Drosophila melanogaster: one gene and its partner. Changing the gene in region 1 together with any one later gene gives a genetic interaction. Each region holds a gene or a part of one and is shown on either strand. Other genes may lie near its edges.

What was found.
Region 2: of Ran (region 1) and RanGAP, changing one suppresses a phenotype caused by changing the other (phenotypic suppression), as found in Drosophila melanogaster (one study listed by BioGRID).

What each region holds. Positions count from the first base shown.
Region 1 is NC_004354.4:11,140,502-11,155,053, forward strand, and holds Ran (Ran), read right to left. Parts: upstream 8,080-14,552; 5' UTR 7,985-8,079; intron 6,096-7,984; exon of another isoform or gene 5,915-6,095; 5' UTR 5,877-5,914; coding exon 5,442-5,876; intron 5,364-5,441; coding exon 5,148-5,363; 3' UTR 4,351-5,147; downstream 1-4,350. Other genes in the region: CG15199 (uncharacterized protein), read right to left, coding at 119-227, 289-530; CG15202 (uncharacterized protein), read left to right, coding at 2,179-2,272, 2,561-2,693, 2,758-2,878; CG15201 (uncharacterized protein), read left to right, coding at 3,652-3,748, 3,819-3,981, 4,113-4,194; Lint-1 (l(3)mbt interacting protein 1), read left to right, coding at 9,213-9,350, 9,424-9,459, 10,135-11,626, 11,737-11,879; rtv (retroactive), read right to left, coding at 12,465-12,859, 13,116-13,176.
Region 2 is NT_033779.5:19,437,396-19,453,291, reverse strand, and holds RanGAP (Ran GTPase activating protein), read right to left. Parts: upstream 11,334-15,896; 5' UTR 11,037-11,333; intron 10,954-11,036; exon of another isoform or gene 10,565-10,953; intron 10,460-10,564; exon of another isoform or gene 9,989-10,459; coding exon of another isoform or gene 9,745-9,988; intron 9,662-9,744; coding exon of another isoform or gene 9,441-9,661; intron 9,381-9,440; coding exon of another isoform or gene 9,242-9,380; intron 9,184-9,241; coding exon of another isoform or gene 8,865-9,183; intron 8,800-8,864; coding exon of another isoform or gene 8,673-8,799; exon of another isoform or gene 8,542-8,672; intron 8,341-8,541; 5' UTR 8,107-8,340; coding exon 8,007-8,106; intron 7,948-8,006; coding exon 7,266-7,947; intron 7,196-7,265; coding exon 6,694-7,195; intron 6,617-6,693; coding exon 6,440-6,616; intron 6,384-6,439; coding exon 6,054-6,383; 3' UTR 5,975-6,053; downstream 1-5,974. Other genes in the region: Top2 (topoisomerase 2), read left to right, coding at 1,007-1,564, 1,622-2,045, 2,112-5,149, 5,231-5,554; Hs2st (heparan sulfate 2-O-sulfotransferase), read left to right, coding at 8,673-8,799, 8,865-9,183, 9,242-9,380, 9,441-9,661, 9,745-9,988; CG10237 (uncharacterized protein), read left to right, coding at 12,571-12,628, 15,447-15,626. UniProt on the Drosophila melanogaster protein: GTPase activator for the nuclear Ras-related regulatory protein Ran, converting it to the putatively inactive GDP-bound state. Trans-acting factor necessary for meiotic distortion.

The DNA of each region.
Region 1 (14,552 bases):
AAAGATTATACTTGTTACTAGTACTTTGGCTAACTTTGCCACAAGATCAATGGATTATAGTTTAAATAGAAATAGTAATTCCGAACAGATCGATGCTTTTGGATCTAGTATCTTGTATCTAGTATTCGTCGGAGCACTCGAGTTGGGGACAGCACTCGGGGAACTTGAAATCATAGTCGTTGGGTGAGAGGTGGCAGCCAGGTCGCGGCCATGGCTGTTTGTCGCAGCTGGAAGGGATTGGGCGAAATGGGATATAGTGAGGGCATGCGATCAAATCTCGAAACTTACTGGCGTATCAACAGCAGATAGTCATCGGTGCACTCCAAGCGAATGCAGTAGCCCTGCTGACCGGAGGGCAGAACGTAGCCATTGAGTGGAACGGCCAGGTCCAACTCCTCGTAGAGGCAGTGCTCCGCCAGGCTAGGGTGCTGCGTGTGACCACGATACTGGGTGCTGAACCCATTGCCGTCCACCGATGCGGCCAGCAGACAGGCCACAAAAGCTAGGGACATCCAAGCTGCTCCGGACATGGTTGCTCTCGTTGTGGAATAGCATTGGGTCGTCACCGGAACTCATCTCTTATAGGCGGCGGGCCATCCATCTTATCAGCTGGCTATCAACGCTCTCGTGATTCCGATTTCGGCTGCGTTTGCCTTGCTCTCGTCATCTGGAAGTGGAGGAAGTGGCGCACCACGTTATCGCACTTGCTGACACTCGAGGATGTTGGCCTAGACCAGGAAAGTATGCACCAAGCAAATGCTATCAGGTATTCGCCATTCCACTCATGGGATAGTTGCAAAAGTAATTCAGTTTTTCAATCAACAAATATTGGTTAAGCCATTTGGGAGCTGGGTAACTAATTATTAGTTGGGTAAACCATTTCAGGAAATTCTAGTAGGATTAATAGAAGAGGAACCCAAAATGTAGTCAACTTTTTAGCAAAAGTTAATAACTATACCTATAGCTTATATGTAATTAAGAAGTAATACGACAATCTTACCAATTTGCATACCAAGTAATGTATCTATCATAATTAGTTAGTCTATCTGTATTGTATCTATCTATCACTTCATACTGTATATATCTATCTATCAATACTATATCTATCAATCTATCTATCTATACTGTAACTATATATCTATCATATATCTATCATATATCTATACTGTATCTATCCATCTACAATGTATCTATCTATCTATCTATATATACTGTAACTAACTATCTATCCTGTATCTACCTTAAGTAGATGGTTAATTTGCGATTTGTTATAGAAGATCTATGCTTAGAAGATCTTAACTTACGAGTTCTGGTGGGAATCGTGGACTTGACTCCATTCCATTCAATCCCAATCGAATCACGGCGGAATTAACTAATGCAAATACAGTCCAGACGAAATCACAATGCACTTGCACTCGTGAGTGCCATTAAATTTGCATAAATGTATCTAGGTACATATTACGTACGCGGGAATCAAGTGTTGTGTGCTCAGCGTACACTGCGATAAATGAATGGGGTACATAGTACATACATATCTCTATACATCTGAATTGAAGATTTGACATAGGATTGAGGATTAAGCAGGCATTTTAAGTATATAACTACTTTGTTTTATTCTATAGAATATAATTGACAGTCCGCTTTCTCCAAGTGTAGCTGGCCCAAAATTCGGTGGCACAAAAGAGTTATTTGCGTGCCGTGATTACCGCTCAACCTTGCCACAGTTTCTCGAACCGTGTCACTTGGCTGTCGGGGATTCCGCCTGCCAACTTCACTCCTCCGCTGCTGGCCGATCCCCGCCAGAACTCACTCTCGCTTTCAGGGCTGGCTTAATTAATTTAAATTCTTAATTTAAACTAGAGCTGGCGGGCGGCGCAAAGCGAACGCCTTAAGTCGGTCGGCAAACAAAAGCCACAGATGCTATCGCTATCTGGTTGTGCACACACACACATGTGTGCCACATACTCGTGGTAGTACGGCACATGGTTCATTATTAATTTTATATAAAAGCAACAACAATTAATTGTAATTGACTCAGTCGCACGGGCAGCGCTCAACAGCCAAGTCGGATTTGGATTTCGAGCAATCGTGGTGTTGCCTCTTAGCTTATCCCCCCGAAAGAAAAAAACCACCATCACCTCCTCCTCCTCCTCCAGCTCCTCCGCTCATTCGGCGACTATGCGAGCCGGAGTCGCCTGTCTCCTGGTGCTCCTGGGCATCTGTGGAGCCGCTCGGGCGGATCTTACCTACCGCGGAAATGCAGTGCATCCAGGTCATTAAGAAATGGATACTGTATTCATACTATACTATCTAGATAGTAGTTAGATACTGTAGTGAAAACTAGATACTAGAAAATGATATCATATGAACAAATTCATATGAATCAAAGGAATATATTATAGATTCCAGATATACAGATGCTATAGTATCTATAATGACTACCAGATACTATAGTATCTATAATGTCTCTTAGATACTGTAGTAATATCATATCAATCAAAGGGATATAGTACTATAGTTCCAACCAGATAATGATCGTTTATGTGCTTTATGTTTCCAGACTATCCTGGCCAGTGCTACTACGAGGAGCTCAACCAGGCCATACCCAAGAAACAGTCCTACAAGCCCATCAATCGCGAGGGCTACTGCCAGTCCATCTACTGCAGACCAGACTATGTCCTCGAAATTAGCTAGTAAGTTAAAAACACTTATTATGAATATATATTTTTAATGCATATTTACTTACGTTTACTTCAGTTGCGGTCGCCATAATTTGGTGCCCACGGAGAAGTGCAGGATCGCCTCGGATATGCGACGCACCTTTCCGGAATGCTGTCCCAAGCTGGTGTGCCAGGAGTCCGAGAGCAACTACATCTAGCTTAGACTCCTGGCTGCTAAGTATTATTATAGAAAAACATACTTCCTAGTATTGTACATTTTTATTTTGGCACAATGTTTGTTAAATATTACTTGTAAGTTCATTGCGTATTTATGTTGATAGGTTTATTGTTCTATGTTTTTGATATTCTTGCCGGAAATATATATGTATCTATTCTAACAAAAACCCAAAGAATGAAATTCATTGTATATATTTTCAGCCAAATGATAAGTTCATTGTAATTCAAGTAGGTTCTCCACAAAATTTGTTGCTTTAAAATCAGCCTAGAAACGCACAAAAACACTGTGGAAAAGTAAAGTCAATATAATAAATATAAAATAGAAATAATTTATAATAAATTTAATGATCTTGCTTTAAACTAAACTTTTGTATGTTCTTGCATTTTATGCGGATATTTTTGGGATTTGTGCTCAAAATTCAAAACGGAATGTTAGTAAACGGCAATGATTAATTTTTAATTTAATTTTGTTCCCTTTGAGACGATGATCCATTTGGACACCTTTGTACGATCTGGAAGAGCACACTCTCTGTGGAAACTACGCATCTGATCAGTCCGCCTCCCTGGCAATTAAGCAATTAGCAAGTGCTCGCGGAATCCCACTCAATCAAGCAGCTGAAAATGCAAATCACCACTGACTACTGACTGGCTGATTCGCAAACGAGCCGCGCTCCAAGTGGCTCTTTTGGGCAACCTATAAATAGGCAACGGGCTGGGCCAGCTCTCGGTTCAGTCTCGTCACCGCGCTCCAAAGATGCACAACCGTTGCGGATCCATTTGGCTGCTGGCGGCCGTCCTGCTGCTGCTGGCGCTCCTGCTTCCGCAGGCACTGCTGCCTACCGTCGATGCGGGTAAGCTGGCCATGGGATCTCCTACTACTGTTCCATATGTCATATGTAATCATATGTATCTTGTACGTAGCCAGCGAACCCGTGTGCTCCTACCGCAACTCGGAGGATGAGACCATCTTTCTCAAGTATCTGCCGCTGCTGAGACGCGGACAGGACTACGTGGACTTCGGCAAGGATGGCAAGTGCCTCAAGCGGGCCATCTGCACGGACACCTTCAAGACCATCGTGGAGGAGTAAGTGCATCATGACAGCGATCTTAATTAGCAACTTAGGTTGCATGAAGAAAACAAAATATTTCCTAGCTGAACTTTGCCCCGATCTCCACATGATTCTAACCAAGCCATCTACAATATCTTTTTTTCAGCTGTGGACAGCAGAAGGTCACCTGCGGCAACAAGGATCGCTTCACCGGAGTTTTCCCTGCCTGCTGCCTCAAGTGTCCCTAAATCCGAGGAGTTTCATTAAGAACAGTGTATTCAAATGTAGAAATGTAAACAGTAGACGATTAGCTAACGGAATATATGTGCTACCCATTCAATTACAGGGTATGCGATAACTATAATCTAGCATCATTTCCTTATCATCTTTCAAATGCAAATCCAGCTCCGTTCGTTTAGTTTTTTTTTCTTCGACGTTTATTTTTTATTTCTTTAGTTCTTAGATTAATAACATGTGGATGCGAATTCGGCGGCCTGTCTATAGGTTATTTTCTCATAGTTTCCAGTGTTTTCCTTTCTTTTCTTTTTTCAATAGTATTAATTTTCCTTTGGGGGGACTCAGTTCATTGGCCAGCTATTGCGCTCTCGCTCGCTCCGAGCATGCCGTCTCGCTCGTTTCTAACATTCACACTTTTGTTGAAGTAACTTGGTTTTTTCTTCCTTTTTTTTTTTGGGTGGAAAAGAACATTGGTGTTGCAAGTTTTAAAAAAATACGTTCTGCGACTATTTATTTCTCTTGGTTTTCGATTAAGTTGCTGTTGCCTGCTGCTTTAGCACTTTAATGACAATACTACTTACTTACTCCTTTTTTTCCAAGAGCCAACGTATAAGGAAACAAACAAAAAAAAAATCAATTATAACCGACTTATTAATGAATTGGGGATCTAAAATTTAAATACAATCGACGTATTAAGAAGGGCTTGTTTGTAGATTTTCCCAACGATCGATCGAAGAACATAGGCTGGCAAATCCAATAGTGTACGGATAGTACACTACTGCTAATGCTACTTCCTCTAATCCGTAATCCTTCATTCCCTCTTGCCACGCCTTTTCATACGGTGCCTGTGATTCAGTGTTCTATGTTCGGTGTGGTGTTGTGTGTTGTGGTTTTGTGTTTGAGTGTGTGTGTGTTTGTGTTTTCGCGCAAGTCGGATTTCGCTCTAAGTTAACTACAAATAGGCTTATAGCTCCTCGTCCTCGTCGGGCAGTGCGGTCGCCTGGGCCTCCTGCAAGTCACGCTCGATCTGCGCCTGCCAATCCTTATCCATCTTAACCTCGGGCGGCAGCAGGGCTGGCATGGCGACAAACTCCAGGTTGGGATCACCAACCAGCTTGCGCGCCAGCCAAAGGAATGGTTTCTCGAAGTTGTAGTTCGATTTGGCAGAAATATCGTAATACTGTTTGACAAAAAAGAAGGCACAAGCACAATAACGTTAACAAAATTTCAAATAAAAGTTCAGCTTTTCTTTATTTACCTGCAAGTTCTTCTTTCGGTGGAAGACGATGCTCTTCGCTTTCACCTTGCGATCCTTGATATCGACTTTGTTGCCACAGAGGACGATTGGTATGTTCTCGCAGACGCGGACTAGATCGCGATGCCAGTTGGGCACGTTCTTGTACGTGACACGCGAGGTAACATCGAACATGATGACGGCACACTGGCCCTGAATGTAGTAGCCATCGCGCAGCCCGCCGAACTTCTCCTGGCCAGCGGTATCCCACACATTGAAACGGATGGCGCCACGATTGGTATGGAAGATCAATGGATGCACCTCCACGCCCAGTGTGGCCACGTACTTCTTCTCGAACTCACCGGTCATGTGCCGCTTGACAAAGGTGGTCTTGCCGGTGCCGCCATCGCCGACTAGCACGCACTTGAATGTGGGTATATCCTGACCTTCCTGAGCCATCCTTCTAAGCACTCGGTATCTTCGTTAATGCAAAATTTCTGGAACGGTGAGCTGCAGATGGAACAATTGCGTTTGGCTGGTTAGCAACTTGCAACTACTATGCTACTTTATATATTTAAATATATATATATATAGCGGAGCTTGAGCAGGAACAGGAACAGGAGCGGAATGTGTTGGCTAGGATGTTGTTGGTTCGGCGAGCGCCAGGCGACTGACTGCCCGTCCTGCGAGCCGTCCAAAATGTGACGTGCACAATGGATGCGTCAAAGCCCGCCAAGGACGGCGACCAGCTGTTCGGCGAGGAGCGAGCAGGATAACGACAAAGGACACTGCAGCTGCCGCTCCCGCTGAGCCCGCAAGGATAAGAAGGCCGAGATGCCGAGCCAGAGCGAGATGGCCACAGGGTATGGCTGGCTGTGTGTGCAGGTAAGCAGAAATGCCAGGCGCACCAAACAACAACAACAACAAGAAGGCGGCAGGGAGGCGGAAGGATATACTCTGCATACTCGCACACATACATTCCCACCACGTTTATGCGCAGCCCAAAACAGTTTGCCACACAAAAGGAGACCCGGAAAACCCACGGCGGCTCTGACCCACAATTGACCTGGGTAATACTAATTTAAACCCGAGCATAGGAAACCAAAGTGAATAATAAATGCTGACATTTCTGTTCGCAAATAATTAGCGCGCATAAACGCTTGGCATAAGTTTCGGAATATTAAGCGTAGAATTGGAGACATTCAAAACATTCGAAGAAAAGCGCAGTGTAAACAAAATTTTCATACTAAAGAAACTTGATCGCGTTATTGTGTTTGTACTGTATATAGCATAACATTTGTTTATGATTTACTGCGAACTGTAATCAAAGATATATACAAATTTAAGAAGTTATAGAGAAGAAATATTGGTAAATATAGGTTTTGAATGAAATGGCCATATAGCAAATAGAAGTACTTTTTAAAAGAATTAAAGCAAACTACCAAGTTCATCAATAAAGATGACCATATTTTCAGCATGAATCAAGATCAGTTTCATCAATTTGAAATGAGGTGAATAATTTGAATGGATATATTTCGTAAAACGCTGAAAAAGGCATTTGATGACTCATTCCTTTTGGAGACTGAAATGAGTAACTTTTTAAGGATGGCAAGATTGTGAAATTCCTGCGCATCACACCACTGGTGCTGCCCATAAAAGCAGGAAAATTCCTTATTTTGAGTGCCGCCTGTAACGCCGGCAAATTACAAGCACACACACGCACGCATGCACTCGTATTGGTGAGAACCTGTGGACGCTGCGAAGCGCGCCAAAAAATAAAAATGCCGACATACAAATAGTGCAGCGTTTTCTTAGCTCATTTGCTGGCTGGCGAACAGCGCAGCAGTCGCGATTCACGTGAAAATCGCCAATCGCATTTATATATTCTAAATAACAAATCGAATTCTAACACACATACGCACCCACACATGCACACGCACACGGACGACGAACAGACGCAGACAGACGACGACGCCGACGTCGCCGCCGGCAGAAGAAACATGAAGCAAATTCATTGCCGTTTTTTTTTTTTTGCGATTCATGTTTAACCTCACAAAATGCGAATGGCATGGCAGTCGGCGAGAATGTTCCGATGGCCAAAGGACAAGGACATTTGTCCTGCTTCGGTGTGGCGTACGGAGGAGCTGACAGTCCCAATTGGACGGCGCTTTTCCACTGCAGAGCTTGCCATGAGCCGGAAAAGGAGGGATAACAGCACGAGGCGGCACCACGTCGTTTTTCTTTTTTTTTTGTCAGCGAAATCTCTGGAAGCTCTATACGCCACTTGTTTTGTACAACTCTAGCCGGCAATCGGGCTTGTTAACCGGCTGGACTTGGTGGCCGGAAGCCGGGTGGGCGGTGGCCGGGTGGACAGACAGCAAAAGCCGCTGGGTCGGGAATAAAGCACACAATTCCAGGCGAAGCGACGCCGTCGTCCATATTGCATGCGAATTTGGGGCGTCACTGGCGTCATGCCGCACAGCACTTATTCACATCACGGTGGCGAATTAGCCAGGCTGGCAGCGAATTTGCACACAATTTAAAGCCCATTTTGTAGTTCTACTTACATTTTGCTCGAAATTCCTAGAAAACCACAACTTTCTTTTTTGCCGAAACACAATGCAGTGCTGCCAGATTTGAGTGATAAATGAAGTATAGCTGTTGCCTCGATGTTTTCGTTATCGGCCAGTGTGACCGTGCGAGCATAGAGAGGTTCCAAATTCTGGCGCTTACTTATATACCATCCACACCATTTGCAATTATTTAATATAATATATTAAATATATGGCTTAGTAGATATACAGAACACGTGTAGTAACAAAAAAAAAAACTGTCTATCAAATTGTAATGAAACTTTTTGAATAAATAATAAATAAAATTACGAAACTTTTGAGATGCCGTACGACGGAATACGCTCTGTGAGCTGAGTTAAATAATAAATATAAATAATAGTGCAATGTAATAAAATAAATAATAATAAAATAAAGTCAGCGGAGAACTCTTATCGTTAATAGGGCGGTTCATGATATTTATTGGCTGTAGTACTGGAGAAGGTGGCATTTAAACTCCTTCCACTTGTAGACGATTTTCTGCAAAACTGTAGATAAATTTTTGATGAATTTTTTAAGGATCATTACTTAATTAGGCCTACATAAGCCTATAAGCACGGCATTCCGGAACACGCTCTGTCAACAACACCAAACATAAATGACTTTCATGGGTACTTTTTTGTATAGGCTTGTTCATATTTTGACCCATAAAAAAAAAAAAAATAATAAAAAACTTTCCAATGTTCAAAAATTTCACCGTTCCGCCATCGACTCTAACTCATCGACGCTAATTTGATGGTCTTGCGTGCATTTTGGAACACTAAATAACGAAAAATTAATTTTTAAAAAACTTCCCCATGTTCAAAAATTCCACCGTTCCGTCATCGAAGTTATTGACGCACATCGTCCTTATTTCTCCAAATTCATAATTAAACGCATATTAAGATTAAAAATTCGCTACGAGAACGAGCACATGTATTCATCTATCTGGCAACGCCACCAGTTGATGCAACACATTTTTATCTTAAATTGCGAAGTTCCTCGGCCAGATATCAGTTACGAATGTAGTGATCAATCTATCACATTTTCTAACCACATTCGGTTTCAATTCCCACCCCACTCCCTTTCGAAAATTTGCCCAAAATTCCCACAAGTGCATCAATTGCAACGCATCCGAAATCAGTCGCGTGCGTGATTCGTACGATAACCGTCGTTATATATATAGCGTCAATATAATCGGAACAAGATGAGCAAGTACCATAAGGAGCGCAAGTACGCCAAGTTCAGGTACTACATGGAGAAGTACTACGTGCTGCCGCTGGAGCTGAAGAACGACATCATCTACTGCCAGCGATCGCTGCGCGATTTCCTCAAGGTTCACGCGGTAAGTGCACCATGGCTCCTTGGCGAACACCAGTTAATTTGTTTCCTTTGTCTCTGTTCTCTCACTTACGCAGTTGGTCTCGGAGGTCTTCGATGAGCAGGCGGATGCGGTGGGTTTAATGCCAGAAGACTGCAAGTCTTTGTCCTTTGTTCTCTACGCCACGAGAATTCCCGATTCCCCAGGGTGAAGGTGTTCGCCCGTAGAACACCACCCAACCCCCCTCCCACTACACACAACCAAAAAAAAAACCAAAACAAAGAACTGTATGTAGATGAAGCTATGAAACGTAGTACTTAGTTTAGTTTTTTCATTTCAAAGAAACTGATGTACTCGCGATAATTTTCTAGAGTTGGGTTAGAAACATGAAAGAGGCAACTGCGTTTTAAGCAAAACTAATAATGCACAAAAATTGGGTCAAATGTTTTCATTTCCAAAGGAACCACGTTCGCATCTCTGAATTTTTTCGAAATTACTTTCACTTTTTTTTGAAAAGAAGACATATGAGAATTATGTATATGACGAAATCCATCATCTATATGAGCAAATATTGCTGATTTCTTAACAGCATTAATGCGCATATTCTTTAATGCCGCTTTATTTCAATATTTTTCCAACGTGCATCCTTATCCATCAATCTCAACCTCATTTGTGATTGAAATGTATTCCCTTTTTTGCTCAGTGCTTGTGGTCATTAGCGTTTTTAATGGCCATTAGCACCTGTGCAGCTTCCACCTAACAATCCCAGCCACACCTAATGTGACACTCACGTTCTTGTCGTCATTAGGATCCAGTGCAGATGCGTCGCATCTTGGACGAACTGGAGGAGGAGGTGTACGAGATCAATGCCGAGCAGCAGTTCCTTCTGCTACGCCTCAACGATAGCCTACAGGAATTCTCCGTGAAGCTGAAGGAGAACAACATCATGTTCCTGCCGGACATCGCCCATGAGTACGTTTCCGCCCAGGTAGTGCCTTTGATCGTCGATCCCAACTATAAGATTATGCCACAGTCGGTGATGGCTCGTGATACCGAGGAGATGCTTATTCGCAAGCACTTCCTGCTGAGCCAGGACGATGATTCTGGTATGCCGCCGCTTAAGCTCAGCGAATTGGATGAGAATATACCATTGATGCTGGCTCCGCCGGTTAGGGGATTGGGTCAGCAGATCGCCGCCGTTAAGCCGGAGCCAGAGTGGCTCCAAGGCGATGAGGCGACAGTATCAGTGCCACCGCCGCCGCCACAATCGAAGTCGAAGCTGATGAAAGGGTCGCTGGATTCGACCCCGGCCAAGCGAGAGAATATCAGCCGCAGCTCACCGCCGCCCTTGGCGCCTATAACCCAAACCGTAGTGGCTGAGTTGTCACAAGTACCTCCATCACCACAAGCAGAATCTCCACCAGTAAACTTTCACGTTGTGGCCCAGAGTCGCAAGAACTTGCAGCAGGCATTGAGAAGGGCCAGAAAGACGAAGCAGCAGCCACGTTTGTTCGACGACGAGGAGGACCTGGAGATCACCAGTTTGCAGAACGATCGCAACAAGAACAGAACCAGCGATGGCAAGGGGACACCGCCATCGCTGGAGCCAACGAATGCTGCCGCCAATCAGGCAGCCAAGAAGACCATCCCACAAATGTCTAGTCAGGGGATGGCGAAGAATAATACCGCGAAGAGCAAAAACACGTGCAGGAAATCCTCGCCAACGCCCACATCCAGTGGACAGTCGCAGCCAGCGGTATCGTCATCCGGCAGCTCCGATGATTCCAGTGCCGAGCTGCAGCAGGAGCAGCAAAGACGCGTCGCATCCGCCGCCCAGTGGCGCGATGAGCCGCGCGAGAGCCGCACCCAGCCGGAGGAGTACGGCCAGGAGACGTTCCTCGGCCTCTTTGAGCTCTACTCGCCGGAGGTGCTCAAGAAGCTCAGTCAGCGCCACTCGAAGCGCAAGCGTCGCACCGTTCAGAATGCCAGCGGAGTGGATTTTCACTATGGCCAGCAGTTGAATGCCGTGGACGCGTTAGTCATGGGCGTTCGTGGTCAGAAGAAGACCAAGGAGAAGTCCGAATTCCTGCTCTCGCCGACGGAAAAACGTTTGCAGGCCAACTCGAAGAGGACGTACACACGCAAGAGCAAGTCGCCGGACGAGATTTCGGAGAAGAGCAGCGCAGGAGGAGGATCTGGCGCATCGGGAACTGCGTCTTCATCAGCCTGTCAGCATAAAGACGGCGGTGCCTCCAAGTGCCGCAAATGCCGCGAGTGCCGTGAATGCAAACGTCGTGTGGGTGAGTCATCCACCAACCACAAACTTGTTGAGTTGGTTTTCTTAAATTCGTATTACCCATTTAATGATTTTATTAATATTTTATTGTTTTGCTTGTTTTTTTTTTCCCAGAAACCGAAGCGATGTACTGCCACTTGTGCAGCGGATTATACCACATGGACTGCCACGAGTTCACCAAAAATCGCCAGCTGATGCAGCTGCAGAACTCTCGCTGCCCCCCATGCTTGCGCGAAAAAGATAAGTTGGAGAAGTAGTGCGTTGCCAAGTGAGCCATTGATGTTAAATGTTTCTCATTCTTGCATAAAGGATTGTATATATTTGAATCAACCCTAGTTGGTATGCTGAGTTCGTGTTTTTATATTAAAATTTATTATTACTTAAATGATTATATGATTATATAAATGATTATTATATTCTTATTTTATAAATATACTAATTAAAACGAATGGATATTCTATTTGCAAACAAAGAGAATGGTGTTACGCAGCAGGAGTGATTTAATTAGGTATATGAATAATATTCATATTGTTTCTTTTTCGCAAACAATCGAGTCTGTTCCACTGATAGCTGATTGACCCGAAGTCGGGATCTATGCCATATATAGCCATAATCAATGGTTACATATTGAATGTAAGTACCTTATTTGCGATCGGAAAAATGATACGAAAAAATGCACGAGTAAACGGCAATAAAATCTTAAGCAGAGCAAGAACATTCGATTTTAAGTAATAACAAAAAATTGTTTGTATTTATCGAACTGTTGATATTACATTGAGTGTTGCTGAGTATTGGAAGATGTATATACACATTGCCGGCTAAGAGCACAGAAAGCAAACAGTCTAGTTTCGCATCCGCTGGAGCAGCCAGGAGCCGAGCAGCGGCAGCATGGTGATGAGGATCATCTGGGGTGCACTGGACCAGCTCCTCGCGCCGTTGCACAGGTCGCCCTGGCAGAAGCACATGTACACCTTCTTATAGTTGTAGATGGTGTCCGCACAGCGATCCATGTTGTCGTCCGGACCGCGCTGCACGCACATCCGCTGGATGGCCAGGTCGTAGTCGTCGATGGCATAGGTGCCGCCGCCCTCGATCACCTTGCCGCACCAGCCGCTGGCGCACGGGATGGCCGCCACTCCCGGTTCCTGCTCCACGTCCGTTGCATTGAAGGTGAAGGGGTCCTTGCAGCTGCCCAGTTCGCCACGGGATCGGCACTGATAGCAGCGGCGCAGAAGGCCTACAATTGAAAGTTCAAATATTTAAAATTTAAAACATGGTTTTACTGAGCGTTTAAATCTAAAAGTGAATTAAAAATGAAAATTTTAAATAATATGCAAATGGAACAATTAAGCAAATAACAATACAACGGAAAAAGTTAGTTTTTAATTTGATTTCGCCGTTTTCCCCATGTGAAAATCGAATTATATCTCTCTCACACACACACAACACATATGCAACTTAAACAAAAGACTTCAACGAGAACACGAACTCACCATCGATTGAAACCAGACTTATGAGAAAAATCACAGCCAGTAAAAGGCTCGTAAATTGCATGGTCCCGTCTTCTTATTTCGCCTACTAACTAGTCAATAATGATAATAATGAATAATAGTAAATATATGTAAATGTTAAGTCAAGGAAGTTTAATCGTGAATTAGTGTTACCAGGCGCTGGAATTCCAGCGAATCCAAAAGGTAAAAAGCTCTGCAAAAATAAATAAATACGTTATTTAATATAAATATATGTATATACATATATACAAAAATTACAATTTTATCAACGATTAATTATTTCAAAAATATATTCCAAAATAATGCTAGCTAGATTAATTTATCGATAGTATCGATACTATTGCATGCTTGCATAAGTAAATGCTAGAATTTTAGTAGATACCAGAAATAGTAGCTTTGCCACAGCGCCATCTGCTGGAAATGCGATCAAAGTTCACAATGAGATTAAAGCGACATCTATGAGCAGCGTCAAATCGTTATTGGAATATTTACTTTTTAATTATTAGTTACTCGTTATTCGAAGTAATTTAACGGGTATCTGATAGTCAGTACCTCCACTAAAGCGTTCCCTCTTGCTATCATTTTACCAGCCATATAAATAAATAAACGCCGGGAGAAAAGTACAAAAAGAAATACAGAATAGTTACAAAAGTGATTGTTGTGGGAACGGTATTTCCCGCACCTGCTAGTGCCAAGTGTGACCATACCCGGGTCACCATTTGGTATCGGTATTTTTTGCAGTATTTTTACACGAATAATTGGTGCGAAAGGAAAAGCAAAGCAAAGCAGAAGTGAAGAAGAAGAGCAGTGAAGAGGAGAGGCAGTCAGATTCGACGACGCAACGGCGCTGAAAAAACTCCAGTGGAAACGCACACGAACGCGGCTCTTCTCCACATAAATATACATTATATTATTTAAGTTTGCCTTGTCTAATTGAAACGATCGAAAGGCTGTCCAGCGGAGAGGACGTGCGTGAAAATCCAGGGCGCGAGTTTTCACTGGAGAGGAGAGCGAAGAGCGTGAGAAACTGCGTACGTAGGAAACGGAATAAAAAAAGTGGGCAATCAGAAAGGAGGAAAGAAAGAAAATAGAGTGAGCGAGAGAGATAGATTGAGTAGAAGAGGAAATTTTGCGAATTTGTCAGCAGCTGTGCGTCGTAACTAAAGCAACAGAATTGGAAGTGAGAGTGGGTGGGAGAGAGAGCGTGGTGACAAATGCATAGAGAATTAAACAAAAATAATACAAGTGCGCAGCCTTGCAGTAAAATTATTTAAATAGACTGCTAAATCATATGCAGCCGACACCTGGCAGCCGTCTCGCTCTGTCGCGCATGTGTTTGTTTTTGTTTGCCAACTGTTTCTCATCTTCCCTCTCTTCCACTCTCCCTCTCTCTCTTTAGCACTCTCTGTTGCAGCGCCA
Region 2 (15,896 bases), on another chromosome or scaffold:
AGCAAGAAAAGGCCACAAATACTTGGCAATTTTTTAACCAGGTAAGCAGAAAGTGCTGAATCATAATCGTAGAATTGGCTGTACCGTAGAACCTAAGAGCCCTGTCTAATTAATCCTTTAATATGATGGATATAGCAATTTTTCGGTGGCGTCGCTTGCAAATTAAAAATGGCGATACCGGTATAGACATTTAGCTAATTTTGGGCCTTTAAAAACCATAGTTTTTTGATTTTGTAGCGCGGAGCGCGTATGTAGGCCTGAATTTGTTTACTATAAAGTGAAACCCCTCGAAGAACCTTAATAAGAAATAATAAATAGCGGTGACTACCGGCAAACGCCAATAAACACGCACACTCACGCAACAGACGGCGCACGCCAAGCGTTGCCGCCAAAGAGACAGGGCTGTTATGTATTTCAAAGTGTGCTGAAAATCTGTTCCCAGTACAGTAGCACCAGGCAAAATAATACTTAGTTTGACGTTTTTCAATTTATCTGCAGTTATTTCTGTTTGACGTACCCAACCATTTCCCATGTTGGCCAAGTCCCATTCCATTGCAGCGTTTGTCTGGACGGCATTTACGCAATGCGCGGGCGCGCGTTTTGTTTTTTTTTTTCACCGTGGGTACAGTGCGCATTCATTAATAAAAAATTGTTGAACAGCAGCATCAGCAGCATTGGCATCACATGCCAACGCACAACCATCCCCGTTATTAAGAGGCCATTAAACATATTGGGTGCCATCTATCTTATTTGGTATTATAACAATTAAAAAAAAAACGTGAACATAATATTACTAATATACTAATAGCAACTGTTAACTGGGTGGGTACTGTAGTCTTCTGCTAGTAGCTTTGGTTTTTTTTTTACTTAGTAGAACGCAGGACGAGTGATTAATAGTAGCTAAGGCAATGGCTCGGAATATTAGTTATTAATATTAATATTACATTAACAAATGCCTTTTGCTTACTCTTTGAAGATTCAGCTAAAGCACAGCGACAGAAGCATCATGGAGAACGGAAACAAGGCCCTGTCCATCGAACAGATGTACCAGAAGAAGTCGCAGCTGGAGCACATCCTGCTGCGACCCGACTCGTACATCGGATCCGTGGAGTTCACCAAGGAGCTGATGTGGGTGTATGACAACTCCCAAAACCGCATGGTGCAGAAGGAGATCTCTTTCGTGCCCGGCCTCTACAAGATATTCGACGAGATTCTTGTGAATGCGGCAGATAACAAGCAGCGAGACAAGAGCATGAACACCATTAAGATCGACATCGATCCGGAGCGCAATATGGTGTCCGTGTGGAACAACGGCCAGGGCATTCCGGTGACCATGCACAAGGAGCAGAAGATGTACGTTCCAACGATGATCTTTGGTCATCTGCTGACCTCGTCGAACTACAACGACGATGAGAAGAAGGTCACTGGCGGCAGGAACGGATACGGAGCGAAGCTCTGCAACATATTCTCCACCAGCTTCACCGTTGAGACTGCCACGAGGGAATACAAGAAAAGTTTCAAGCAGACTTGGGGAAACAACATGGGAAAAGCCTCCGATGTGCAGGTAAGGAAATAACATTTCTTATTTTAGACCATCATCTAATGTTCAGTAAACCCACAGATCAAGGACTTCAATGGCACTGACTACACACGCATCACATTCAGTCCCGATCTGGCCAAGTTCAAGATGGACCGTCTCGATGAAGATATTGTGGCTCTAATGTCGCGTCGCGCCTACGATGTGGCCGCCTCATCCAAGGGAGTATCCGTCTTCTTAAACGGCAACAAACTGGGTGTACGCAACTTCAAGGACTATATTGATTTGCACATCAAGAACACGGACGACGATTCTGGCCCACCGATCAAGATAGTCCACGAGGTTGCCAACGAGCGTTGGGAGGTGGCTTGCTGTCCTTCAGATCGAGGCTTCCAACAGGTCTCGTTTGTCAACTCGATAGCTACCTACAAGGGCGGTCGGCATGTGGACCATGTGGTAGACAATCTCATTAAGCAGCTGCTCGAGGTTCTGAAGAAAAAGAACAAAGGTACGTTTAACTTAAAATGTGTATTTTCTTAAACAACAACTAATATTTGCTTTGAACCTCTTCCAGGTGGCATCAACATCAAGCCATTCCAGGTCCGAAACCATCTGTGGGTTTTTGTCAACTGCTTGATAGAGAACCCCACTTTCGACTCGCAGACCAAGGAGAACATGACTCTGCAACAAAAGGGCTTCGGTTCCAAGTGTACCCTCTCGGAAAAGTTCATCAACAACATGTCCAAGTCTGGCATCGTGGAGTCTGTGCTGGCATGGGCCAAGTTCAAGGCCCAAAATGACATTGCCAAGACGGGCGGTCGCAAGTCAAGCAAGATCAAGGGCATTCCCAAGCTGGAGGACGCTAACGAGGCGGGTGGAAAGAACTCGATTAAATGCACCCTCATCCTCACCGAGGGAGACTCAGCCAAGTCATTGGCCGTATCCGGTTTGGGCGTGATCGGACGAGATCTCTACGGCGTGTTCCCGCTTAGGGGTAAACTTCTAAATGTGCGGGAAGCTAATTTCAAGCAGCTTTCGGAGAATGCCGAAATCAACAATTTATGCAAGATAATTGGCTTGCAATACAAAAAGAAGTACCTCACTGAGGACGATCTAAAAACTCTGCGCTATGGCAAAGTGATGATCATGACAGATCAGGATCAGGATGGCTCCCACATCAAGGGTCTCTTGATCAACTTTATCCACACCAATTGGCCAGAGCTTCTGCGTCTGCCCTTCCTCGAGGAGTTCATTACACCAATTGTGAAGGCAACCAAGAAAAACGAGGAGCTGTCATTCTACTCGCTACCCGAATTCGAGGAGTGGAAAAATGATACAGCTAATCACCATACGTACAATATAAAGTACTATAAGGGTTTGGGTACTTCGACCTCCAAGGAGGCGAAAGAGTATTTTCAAGACATGGATCGCCATCGCATCTTATTTAAGTACGATGGATCGGTGGATGATGAGAGCATTGTTATGGCCTTCTCCAAGAAGCACATCGAGTCGCGAAAGGTATGGCTTACCAACCACATGGACGAGGTGAAGCGTCGCAAGGAGCTCGGTTTGCCAGAGCGATATCTCTACACCAAGGGCACCAAGAGCATCACCTATGCAGACTTTATCAATCTGGAGTTGGTGCTGTTCTCGAATGCTGACAATGAGCGCTCCATTCCTAGTCTGGTGGATGGCTTGAAGCCGGGTCAGCGGAAGGTGATGTTCACTTGCTTCAAGAGGAATGACAAGCGTGAGGTGAAGGTGGCCCAGCTATCCGGATCAGTGGCGGAGATGTCAGCCTATCACCACGGAGAGGTATCCCTACAGATGACAATCGTGAATCTGGCTCAGAATTTTGTGGGTGCCAACAACATTAATCTGCTTGAGCCACGCGGTCAATTTGGTACCCGCTTGTCGGGAGGCAAAGATTGCGCCAGCGCTCGTTACATTTTCACTATAATGTCTCCCTTGACGCGACTCATCTACCATCCTTTGGACGATCCACTTTTGGATTACCAGGTGGACGATGGCCAAAAGATCGAGCCACTATGGTATCTGCCCATCATACCGATGGTATTGGTAAACGGAGCCGAGGGCATAGGAACTGGATGGTCCACGAAGATATCCAACTACAATCCTCGTGAGATTATGAAAAATCTAAGGAAGATGATAAACGGACAAGAGCCAAGTGTGATGCATCCGTGGTACAAGAACTTTTTAGGACGCATGGAGTATGTTTCGGATGGTCGTTATATTCAGACTGGTAACATTCAAATTTTGTCCGGAAACCGTTTAGAAATCAGTGAACTCCCTGTGGGCGTATGGACGCAAAACTACAAGGAAAATGTCCTGGAGCCTTTATCAAACGGCACCGAAAAGGTTAAGGGTATTATTTCCGAGTACAGGGAGTATCATACAGACACCACCGTTCGCTTTGTGATCAGTTTCGCACCTGGAGAATTTGAGCGCATTCATGCAGAAGAAGGTGGTTTCTACCGAGTGTTCAAACTTACCACGACGCTGTCCACCAACCAGATGCATGCGTTCGACCAGAACAACTGTCTGCGACGCTTCCCCACCGCGATCGATATCCTTAAAGAGTATTACAAACTGCGACGAGAGTACTACGCCCGCCGGAGGGACTTTTTGGTCGGCCAGCTCACGGCGCAGGCTGATCGCCTCAGTGATCAGGCGCGCTTTATTCTCGAAAAGTGTGAGAAGAAGCTGGTGGTGGAGAACAAGCAGCGCAAGGCCATGTGTGATGAGTTGTTGAAGCGTGGATATCGTCCCGATCCCGTCAAGGAGTGGCAGCGCCGCATTAAAATGGAGGATGCCGAGCAAGCTGACGAAGAGGACGAAGAAGAAGAGGAGGCAGCTCCCAGTGTCAGCTCAAAGGCTAAGAAGGAAAAGGAAGTCGATCCGGAAAAGGCCTTTAAGAAACTAACTGATGTCAAAAAGTTTGACTACCTTCTGGGTATGTCCATGTGGATGTTGACAGAGGAGAAGAAAAACGAGCTACTCAAACAGCGCGACACTAAACTGTCCGAGTTGGAAAGTCTGCGCAAGAAGACGCCGGAGATGCTTTGGCTGGATGATTTGGATGCCCTCGAATCGAAGTTAAATGAAGTAGAGGAGAAGGAGCGCGCAGAAGAGCAGGGGATCAATCTCAAGACCGCGAAGGCTTTGAAGGGCCAGAAGTCGGCCTCAGCTAAGGGCAGAAAGGTTAAGTCAATGGGAGGCGGAGCGGGTGCCGGAGACGTATTCCCAGATCCCGATGGAGAACCCGTCGAGTTTAAGATCACCGAAGAAATCATTAAGAAAATGGCAGCGGCTGCCAAGGTAGCTCAGGCGGCTAAGGAGCCGAAGAAACCCAAAGAGCCCAAGGAGCCAAAAGTGAAGAAGGAACCGAAGGGCAAGCAGATTAAAGCCGAACCTGATGCCAGCGGCGATGAGGTGGACGAATTTGATGCAATGGTCGAGGGCGGCTCTAAGACCTCACCCAAGGCCAAGAAGGCGGTTGTCAAGAAGGAGCCGGGAGAAAAAAAGCCGCGCCAAAAGAAGGAGAACGGCGGCGGGCTCAAGCAGAGCAAGATTGACTTCAGCAAGGCCAAGGTAAGTGTTTCAGTAATTGCCCATATTTGTTTTTAAACCCAAATCTGTATTTAATTGTCAATTAATATTTTTCATCTTTAGGCGAAAAAGAGCGACGATGACGTGGAGGAAGTAACTCCTCGTGCAGAGCGTCCTGGACGTCGACAGGCCAGTAAGAAGATAGACTACAGCTCGCTCTTCTCGGATGAGGAGGAAGACGGTGGCAACGTTGGCTCTGATGATGATGGCAATGCCAGCGATGATGATTCGCCCAAGCGTCCAGCTAAGCGTGGACGAGAGGATGAGAGCAGTGGAGGAGCCAAAAAGAAAGCTCCGCCCAAGAAGAGGCGAGCTGTAATTGAAAGCGATGATGATGATATCGAGATTGATGAAGATGATGATGATGATTCTGATTTTAATTGTTAAGGAACACATTTCCACACAGGATATTGATAGAAGATGGACTCTTAGAATCAGCATTATCCGCATCGAGAATCTCGAGGAGGCACTTTTTTTTGCGGACTTGCTCGCCACGATCGTTCGTTATTTTATAATCTTTCAATGTTCTCCTCGATGTTAACGTCAATGTTTTATAATTCGTGTTTTTATTAACTATAGATAAACACTTCGCTACATTCGTTCACTGTAGCTGATTCTGTTCCAGAGCAGCAAGAAAGCCACCAAGAGGAATTTACAAACGTAATATCGATGTATTAACATGTTCCATAAAGATAGTTTGTAGTCTCATACGAGTTTTCTTCATGTAAATAAATCACTTTTGCCGAATGGCTAATACATTAAATTTCGATTGGTTTTTTGGGTAAAAAAAAAACACCACTACGGGTTAGGAATAATACGTTTTTATTCGCGAAAGCTACACAAATCGGAAAGTGGGAAATAAAGGTAATCTCTTCTCTAATTCTCTTTACGACTCCGCACCCTCCAGGAAAGTCTTAAAGGAATTCTTAATGTTGTCGTTGGCAAACGTTGGTTGCTTGAGAGCCTCGCGAAGAGCAAATCGACAGTTCTTGACATCGTAGTCCGAATGGAATACCTCCTTGCAGGGCAACAAACGGAGCTGCATCAGTACATAGTTGAGTACACGTGTCTCCTGCTTTGTCTTGATGGCATAGTCAAAGGTGGCCTGGTACAAGGAGACGGCCAGATCCAACGCAGCTTTCGAGGATTGCGACAAATGCGCGCACTTCAAGGTGGTGAAGACGAGCAGTAGCAAATGGTTGTCGCCGGTGAATTGCTGTACAAAAATGTTACGTTACTCTAATTGCATTCTAATTATTGAGAATATCTTACGTTGACAATCGACTGCAAAGCCTCAAGTTTGTTATCCATATCTAGCGAATCGAAATCTTCCTGGGAGCAGGGTTTCTGGCTCAAACAGAACTTCTCTGGAGTGCATTTTTGGCTGATCGTCTTGTTCGCGACCGCAAAAGTTTCGCTGGCCATCGAGTTGGTTGTGTCGTTAAAAAGCTGTGAAAATTTAAAATTAAAGATAATTCGATTAATTGCTGTTACCATTTGCACAGTACTCCGAAGTATAAACTAACCTTGGTCGTGTAGGCATTCGTAGTGACATAGGCAGTCTCCTCCGCGACGTTGCTGTACTCCTCGTCTCCCTCGTCTTCCTCGTCGTCCTCGTCGCCCTCGCTATCCTCATCTGCTTCTTCGGTAGTATCGTTGGCGTGCTCGTGTACTTCCTCTTCCTCTTCGTAATCTGCGTCCTGCTTGTCAGCCTGGTATTCATCTTCCAAATCCTCCTCTTCCTGGTGCTGAAACGGTTGCAGTGCGGCAGCAGTTGGCAACTTACTCATCTCGCTGATTATCTTCTCGCTGCCTTCTTCTCCAAAGCTATTGCCATCTAGATTCAAGATGCGTAGCTTGGGCTTGTTTCCCATAGCATTCACCAACACCAAGCCGCCGTCGCTGTTGATTTCGTTAAAACCTAAGTCGATAACTTCCAGTCGTTCGTTTCCTCTCTCCAGAGCCTCACCGAAGTGGTAGGCGCCATTAGTTTTGATCAGGCAGTCTCCAAAGCTCATTTCACGCAGCCTGCAAAGCAAAAAGATATCACATAACACTCACTCACTCTCCCTCATCAAAAACTTTATAACCGACTCACAGTGGCAAGAAGGGAAGAGCCTCAGCTATTTTTTCAGCTCCCTCGGACTTTAGAGTATTGTCGTTCATGTTTAGCACTCGTAGATGAGGATTATGCTTGAAGGATTCGGCAAGGGCCTCGACGCCTTCGATGTAAATGGAGTTTTGCTCCAGAACAATCTCCTCGAAGGTCTTGAGGGTTTGGAATGCGGTTGCCATTTCCGTAGCACCGGCATCCTCGAGACGATTGCGCGAACCTATGAACACACGCAGCTGGAGCGGGAAGCCCGCCTTGTTGGCATTGGCATGCAGATCGATCAGAGCCCGGGACAGCATACTACCGCCCTCGGGACCAAGGCCACAATTGCACAGCAGCAGCTCCTGCAGCGAGTAGCAGACCGGGGATCGCAGTAACTCCTCTAAGCCTCGCATGCCATTCGGTCCTAAGGCATTGTCGCTGAGATCCAGGACTGTCAGTTTGGCGCCCGCGACAATTAGCGCGGCTCCCAGGTGCTTGAGTGCCTCCGGAATCTCCGATATGAGACGACCAGTAAACATGTTCTTCCACAGCGCCTTCCGAAACTCTGGATGACGCTTCAGACCCTCACCAATCGCCTTGGCGGCCTCAACGCCCAGTGTGTTCCCGTCCAGATTCAGATAGTGCACGGTGGTCTGTTTGTTAAGGGCATCCACCACATCCTGGACTGTAAAAAGCCTCAATATAGCCACTGCATGGAGTACCCAAAGCGTCACCCAAACTTACCATCGGCAGCTGTGTTCCAGGAAAGCACCTTGTTCTCGAATGATATTCCCTGCTCCTGGCCCAGTTGGGCGGCCATGCTGGCGAAGTTAAAGGTGGACATGCTTGCTTTTAAATGGAATTATTTTATACGAGTGTATATAAGTCGCACTGTACTTTGCGATTGCAGCCGGCTTGCGAAATTTATTTTAACCTCGCAAAAATGGGCGCTAGAATTTTGGCATTGCTTGGTATTATTTGCCGGCAAGGGTGGTCACACTAATAAAAACAGTGATGCTCAAGGCAAAAGGGTTGCTGAAGGGTGATGCAGATCTGGTTGTGACTGGCCTAAAATATTCTGTGTTGTGTTTTAGGAAAAACATATTTATTGAAGTTATAAATATAAGGCAATTAATTTACGGATTCCTAGCTGGAAATTAAATGCAATTATCCGAGCTAGCATTTTGAGCTATTTTCCATCACTAATTTAGTCATCTCAGCTACAGCTGCACATTCCCACAGATTCACCAGATTTCAGTGCCTTGCAGCACTGTCCAGCAGCTGCTGACCAACACTGCTCGATGTTGGTTGCAGAAAAAAAACAAGGAAAACAACGACCTGAGATTATGCTGAAATAAATACGCTGATATGAGCTACCGTGCTGACCTGTAGGGCAAACCGACACGAGGCATGTTTAGGAAACTGCTTAAGATGTGGATTCTGCTCCGACCCACCCACTGGCTGATCCTGATAGCCCTGTGCGCGGTCACCTGTGCAGGTTACTGGTTGCTTTGGTCAGAGATTCGCCTGGAACATGGTAAGTGGAGTCCGGTAGTTAGGCAAAACCATATCACTTTTACACCCATTACCTACTTTGTGCAGCCTTCAAGCCGCTTTCCAAGCTGGGCGATTCTCTGAGCCCAGATCAGCATGCCTCGTCCACCACCGATGACTTTGACTTCGAGGAGCACCTAGTGGTGCTTTACAATCGCGTACCGAAAACGGGATCCACCAGCTTTGTTAACATAGCATACGATCTGTGCAAGCCCAATAAATTCCATGTGCTGCACATCAATGTCACTGCCAACATGCACGTCCTCTCGCTTCCCAATCAAATCCAATTCGTGCGCAATGTTTCCAGGTGGCACGAGATGAAGCCAGCTCTTTATCACGGCCACATGGCCTTCCTAGACTTCTCAAAGTAGGTAACATCTAGCCAATCCAGCAGAGCCCGTCTCAATTGCATTACTCCTTTGCAGATTCCAAATCGCCCACAAGCCCATCTACATCAATTTGGTGCGCAAACCGCTCGACAGACTTGTCTCCTACTATTACTTTCTACGCTTTGGCGACAACTACCGACCGAATTTAGTCCGCAAGAAGGCGGGCAATAAAATTGTAGGTAGAGCATCAAGGTATTAACCTCCCTGTAACCAAAGCCCTCACACATCTTTGCAGACCTTCGATGAGTGCGTGGTGCAGAAACAACCCGACTGTGATCCCAAAAACATGTGGCTGCAGATACCCTTCTTCTGTGGCCATGCAGCCGAGTGCTGGGAACCCGGCAGCAGTTGGGCCTTGGACCAGGCCAAGCGCAATCTAGTCAACGAATACTTCCTAGTCGGAGTCACAGAGCAGATGTACGAGTTTGTGGATCTGCTCGAGAGATCCCTTCCAAGGTGTGCCTCCCAACCATATGTTATTGTCTGTTTTAGAATACTCCAGTTGCTTCATTGACCTGTTCTTTTTTTTTCTTTTGCAGAATTTTTCACGGCTTTCGTGAGCACTATCATAATTCAAACAAATCTCATCTGCGGGTGACATCTTCCAAGCTTCCGCCCAGCGAATCGACAATTAAATCCATTCAAAAGACAAAAATCTGGCAAATGGAAAACGATCTGTACGATTTCGCGCTGGCCCAATTCGAGTTCAACAAGAAGAAGCTCATGCAGCCGGACAACAAGCACGTGCAGAAATTCATGTACGAGAAGATTCGGCCCAAATGATTGCAGAGGAGGCGACGGAGTCGCAGAGCGAGGATTCGGCCGACTCCAGTGATCTAACCAGGAGTCTCCGACAATTGTATTGTAAATACGTAATTCTCCTTCGCATAGATTTGATCTGTACTTAAGAGTAACTCATCCGTACACTTAAGCGCTACCTAAGACTTTAGCATTGAATATCGTTGACATATTACTAACCCAAACCTTTTGTACGTAGTCTAAGCTTTAAACGTATAAAACAGGCGAGAACGCTTTTGTAGTTCATCGTAAGCAATATCTAGCAACAATTGTCTGCACAATATCTCTATATGATTAGTCAAATGTACGTTTTATACTCGACAATACAACGGAATGAATGGATGAATTGAATCGATATGCATACGTAGAACTAGAAATAGGTGTAAATTCATATGTAATCGACTCTCATTGTTTGTAACTCTCATAGGCTAGGCCATAAATCTGAATTTGACATTCAAATTAAATGCATGTAAATACCTAATAGATAATGGAGTGTCTGTCCGTCTGTCTGTCTGTATGTCCATGTGAAGCGCGCTGTGCGTATCAACAGCTGTCGCTGGGATTGCGTGTTCGTAAATTGATTAATGCCATCAGTGGGTTACTTTTAACTTTCAGCGTTCTGTACTTCGACTTAGCTAATTGCACTTGGCTGCCCAACGAAATTCCGCCGGACTTTAAAGGCTGACGTAGCTCCGTGCTCGAAGGTGATCGTCTGACTGGAGGACGGAATGACCGAATGGCTAAATGGCGGAATGGCGGTCCGACACGCAGAATGGGCTCAGGCAAGCGCAAGAAATGGCATGGAAATACATTTGGAAACGGCGAGCAGTGAAATACTTAATTAATTGCTCGTGCTTGAAACTAAAAGCAAATGAGCTCGAATTACCCACAGCCCCCGTCAGTCAGTTGATCACTTGATCGTGGAACGCGGACACGCCAGTCGAAAGAAGGTACATTAGCTAGTGTCCGGCAGAAAAGCAGAAAGTTACTGTTGTGTCGAACGGGAGGAGTGATAGCCAAAGCAATAACTTACACACTTACGATCCGTAAGAGGGATTACAAACTCGTTTTTCACTCAGTCACAGTGGCGAAGGCGATTAGTCTTTAAACTACTCGTGTACGGAGCGTTCAAAAGTTCAAGTCTAATTGCATCCAAGTCGCGTAACCATCAGAAGATTAACCACGATACACTGTGCGAAACGCTCAGAACACGCACTTAATATAAATATATATACATATATAAAGCTGTGCCGCGATTGCGAAAGTGCCCCGATGCTATATAGCTAACTTAAAAATTTCGTATTTTGCGACGAGAAATGAAAATATTCCTTCGTTTACATTCTAGAACAAATATAGGAAGTGGACTTTTCGCAAGTGGCAGATGAGAATTTCTCGAAAGTGCTAAACAGTACAAGTTACAAAGTGTATATAGTTACAAAATATAGCAAAGTGGATTTCCTGATAGAAAGTACGGATTTTTTCAATAATAATAATAATAACTATATTGTTTTAAGTCAAGAACATTTCTAAAAGTGCACACAAAGTGAAGAAAGTTCTTGAATTTTGTAGTACTCACTTACTTTCAGTGTACCTTCTGCAACATTATATTTAATAATGTTAATTGCTGTGGAAAATCGATTGAGTGCGCTGCACCGTGAGAAATACCGCACTTGTCTTGGCACTTTAACGTACTAAAAACAATGGAAATAACATAAAATTAATGCTGAGCTCAGTGAACCATTTTCAGGTGAACTTATGCAAAACAAGCCAAAAAAAAAAAAGAAGATCCCATGCGGCGATTCGCGACGTGATCTTTAGAGCTCTTAACTCGAATCGGTCGCTTATAATGACCTATTAAGTCGCGCTGGCCTTACGAGTGCCCGACTATTCCGACCGACCTATGTATATATCTTGATAACTATAACTTTGTCGTACAATACATATGTGCAATGCACGCAGTGCATAAAAGGGGCGGCTATAAAACGATTTGACAAGCAGCTTTGTATTTTCAGTCTTCAAACGCGACCCAAGCTCACTAGGTACATATATCGGAGTCGAACGGGAGTTCCGAAGGATTTCCACTGTACCAGCCAACTATTTGTGGATTAGCCGATTTTCAATTCAAACAAGGTGAGTAATTGGATCTCATATATACATTTGTATATATATATACATATAGAGTGCTTTTCTTTTTAAGAGTGCATTTCTGAGTGTGTAGCGCTAGGGACCATAAAAATATCTTAGCCAGATCACCATCACTATCACTATGTAGCTACGCTCAGCCCTTATTTACGAGGCATCACTGTCTGTCCGTGTTTTTTGCATTGCCTTTTGCTCATTACTGTTGCATGCATTCCCCCCTTTCGCACTCGTCGCTCGAGAATTTCAGACAAAGTTCAGTAACTCGCCGACGACATTGACCCATTTAGCCACCGCCGATGCTCCCGACTCGATCAGCCTGAATAAAGAAATATTAATTTATTTACATACGCTAGCATTTGCATGTGCATACCGGTTTAGTTAGTTGTAAAGTAACTTGTGTGTGTATTCATTCGATCTGCATCGCCATGACCATGCTGACCACTGCATCTGCGATGAGGTGCCTGCCCTCTGAATTCCCACTTGGTGAGCAATAGCGAAATCTGCCGAACCCCATTTTTTATCGTATATTTATTGCAAGTACTATATGCATTTTCTTAGAATTATCTCCCTCAAATAGAATTATTTTCTATATACGTACGTATGTATTTATATAAGGCGCGTGGCTACAGTTGCTCGAAAAACTATACACCAGTTTGTTAAAAACTTATATACAGTTGTGCTGGTAATTGAAAGTCACGATTAGTTCGAGAAAGAGTATTTAAAAGGTATTCAAAATATAAATAATTTAAAAAAAACAACACTTTTTGCAATGCCTTTTGATATGCCATCTAAATTGTTTGGACATCAAGCGAGTATTCATGTAACAATCCATTTGTTCGATGTCAGTAATATCTACCGACTTGTACTTTTTCCATCTCTTGAGTAAGGTCAAAGCACTTTTGCTTTTGAACCGCCATTGTCACGTTCTTCAAAAGCAGGTTTCTCATGCAGGGTTTTTAACACGCTTTTTGCAAAGAAAAAACCGAAGGGCGAAGGTTGACATTGCAATGGGTCGTAACCCCAGAATTACTCATATTACTCGCTTCAAGTTTTTTCCATATACTCGCAGCTTTGTACCACCCAGTTTTCGTCAGCATCCGCTTCGAGATGGCCAATAAAAATTGACCAAATGACCGAAACTGGCCGTAATGAAATCGAGAGTATCATCGCAACGTAAATCCGTATCCATGAATGGCCGAAGTCTTCGCACGTGCGATCGTGCGATTGAACCGATTTGTCCAAAACCGGGCGGGAACCATTTGCTGTCCACAACGCAGAGGGTGCTCGGCTTTGGGACGTGTTAATTATACCAAATATGCCTGGCTTAACACATGGGGCTGAGAAAATAGGGACATATGATATGACATGGTGATGCGGTGTCATTAGATGCGATCTTATGATCTATAACTATGATCTATAAATAGTTGAAGATGCTTTCAAGTGTCCAATGTTTGTGGTCTCCAACAAATTGCTAGTGGGGTGACCCCAGGTGTAGGTACGCCGAACAGGTGTAAGCACTAATTGGCGTGTAGCTGGGCAGCATTGAAACCGGATGGCTATGCACGGGCACGGGGCTTCAGGGTCGCGATGGGAAATGCCTATGCCAAGGGATTTTCAAGAGCCCAATAGTACTGTGGGCGATTACCCGAAGAAAACCCGAATAAATTAGGCAAGTCCAAGTTGAAAGCGAAACTGAAACCGGCTTGAGGTGGCGGTGGCATCATTTCCCAATGACGATGCACCCCAGACCCAGTAAAGCTTGCTCGCTCTCCCTGGGCAAACTCCATGTGTCTCTCCATCTAGCAACTCCACGCTCTTGCGAGGCACGTGAATGTCATGCTCAAGTTCAGATTCAGCTGGTGATGATCACTTAATGGGTGCACAACTTGTTTCATATAATAGCATTATATAGTTATTCCCCATCACTAGTGCAAGCAAGCAAGAAAATATATGTTTCAGTAGAAGCTTATTATGTTGAAACTACTTCATTTTGGTGCATTAAAGCATTAAACAACTATAGTTAAAAGACCCCCTTATAGCAGAAGTAGTTACTGTCGGGAAACAAACCCACTTGGCAGCACTGGCGTCTCGATCGGCGACACCCACTCTCATGCCGCTCCGCTCACAATTCCAGTTTTAATTCTTGGCCTGGCATAAAATCTCGACTCGCGCTTTTGGCCGCAACAGTTTCATCTGGGCTTTCAGCTCCGTTGCACGCGTCACTCGCAGCTGGTTTTTTGGGCCGTCTTTGCGGAATACTGTTAGCCATTATACCATTATAGCCTTTAAGTTTGGGCCAAACTAGTTTCGGTCGTGTTGTGTTGTCTTGTGTTGTGTTGTGATCCGTGTGTACTATTTAAGATCTCGTATTTTCCCAGACACAACATCAGCGATTCAGTAGACTCTTGTGTATCATTCATGAATGCAAAAACAGACGATACCCTAAGCAAATCACCTGGCCCATCTAGCCGAAATTGGTAGCAATTTTCAATGTCAGCGCTTCGGATGCTAATCTCCTAGTCTTTTGTTTCGAGCCAGCACTAACGCTAATTTTCGATTTGATGGGAAATCTTCAGCGCTAATTTCCGATTTGATGGGAAATCTAGTGTGCTAATTTCTGATATCCAACTGCCCCACTATATAAGCTCACAGACCCTGGCTCCTCATCTCGCAATTCGAAACCTGCCTAACTGGAAATTACGCTCAAGTAGAACGCGTCAAGTGTCTCCAGAATTTAGTTCAAGGCTCCTAACGTTATTTTCTGATCTCTGAAGAATTGCATTATCTTCGCGAATCTCTGGCCTCTTCTTCCGTTTTAAGCAATTTGCGAATGTCAAGGTGAAGGTCGGCCAGGTGATTAATAAATAAATGAATACATATATGGATATGTTTAGACGATCATCGCATTGACTGGCGGGAAAGTCTAGAAACTCGATGCAGTTGAGCCGGTTCCGAGTCACTTGTGTCTCGCTAATAAATTGAAATCTCTACGCTTTTTTCTTCTTATAAATAGAGGGCACAATTTTACATTTGGCAAACTGAAAATATACAGCGGCGAACCGCTTAGAAAAAGCACATAGCTTAATATAATCGCAGAATAATTTCAGTTCAGCCAGAGCAGCAACAATTGCAAAATGAGTAAGTAGTAATTGTGAAGTATGACAACTAATTGGCAATCGATGTCAGTTAGCTCAAGTTATTTAGTTGGCCAAAGTTCCCAGTGCTCTCAGTGTGAAACCCGCAGCCCCAGCTCAAAGTACAGAAGCTGTCGCTAACCGAACCCCAACTGCTTCCCTTCCAGGAGTACCCACCATGCTGTCGGACATCGACCAACTGCCCACGCTCCAGGTGGGCGACTACACGCTCCAGTTCGAGTTGGGCGAGCCGACTGCCCAGGGCAAGGAGGTGGCCATCAAGGAGCTGCGCGAAACACCCGAGCGCCAGAAGGAGGCCTCCAAGGAGCTGGCCCGTCTTCTAGAAGGTGAGTCGTGATCAGAAATGGAGTTTTACTTTGAATCAATATAATTATACATTAACTACATGAGTTAAAACTCACATGATGAAAGTCATTGAAACTGCATTACATCTGTTTAAAGTATATACATATATCTGAACTGAGATCATACAATATGCATTTTGCTAAGCTATTTTCATAATTTATATCCGAGGGATCTCCAAAAGCTGATAAAAACTTGAGTTAATAAAACTTAAGCCATAAACTTCGTACTTAGCCTGCATCTAATAATTTACC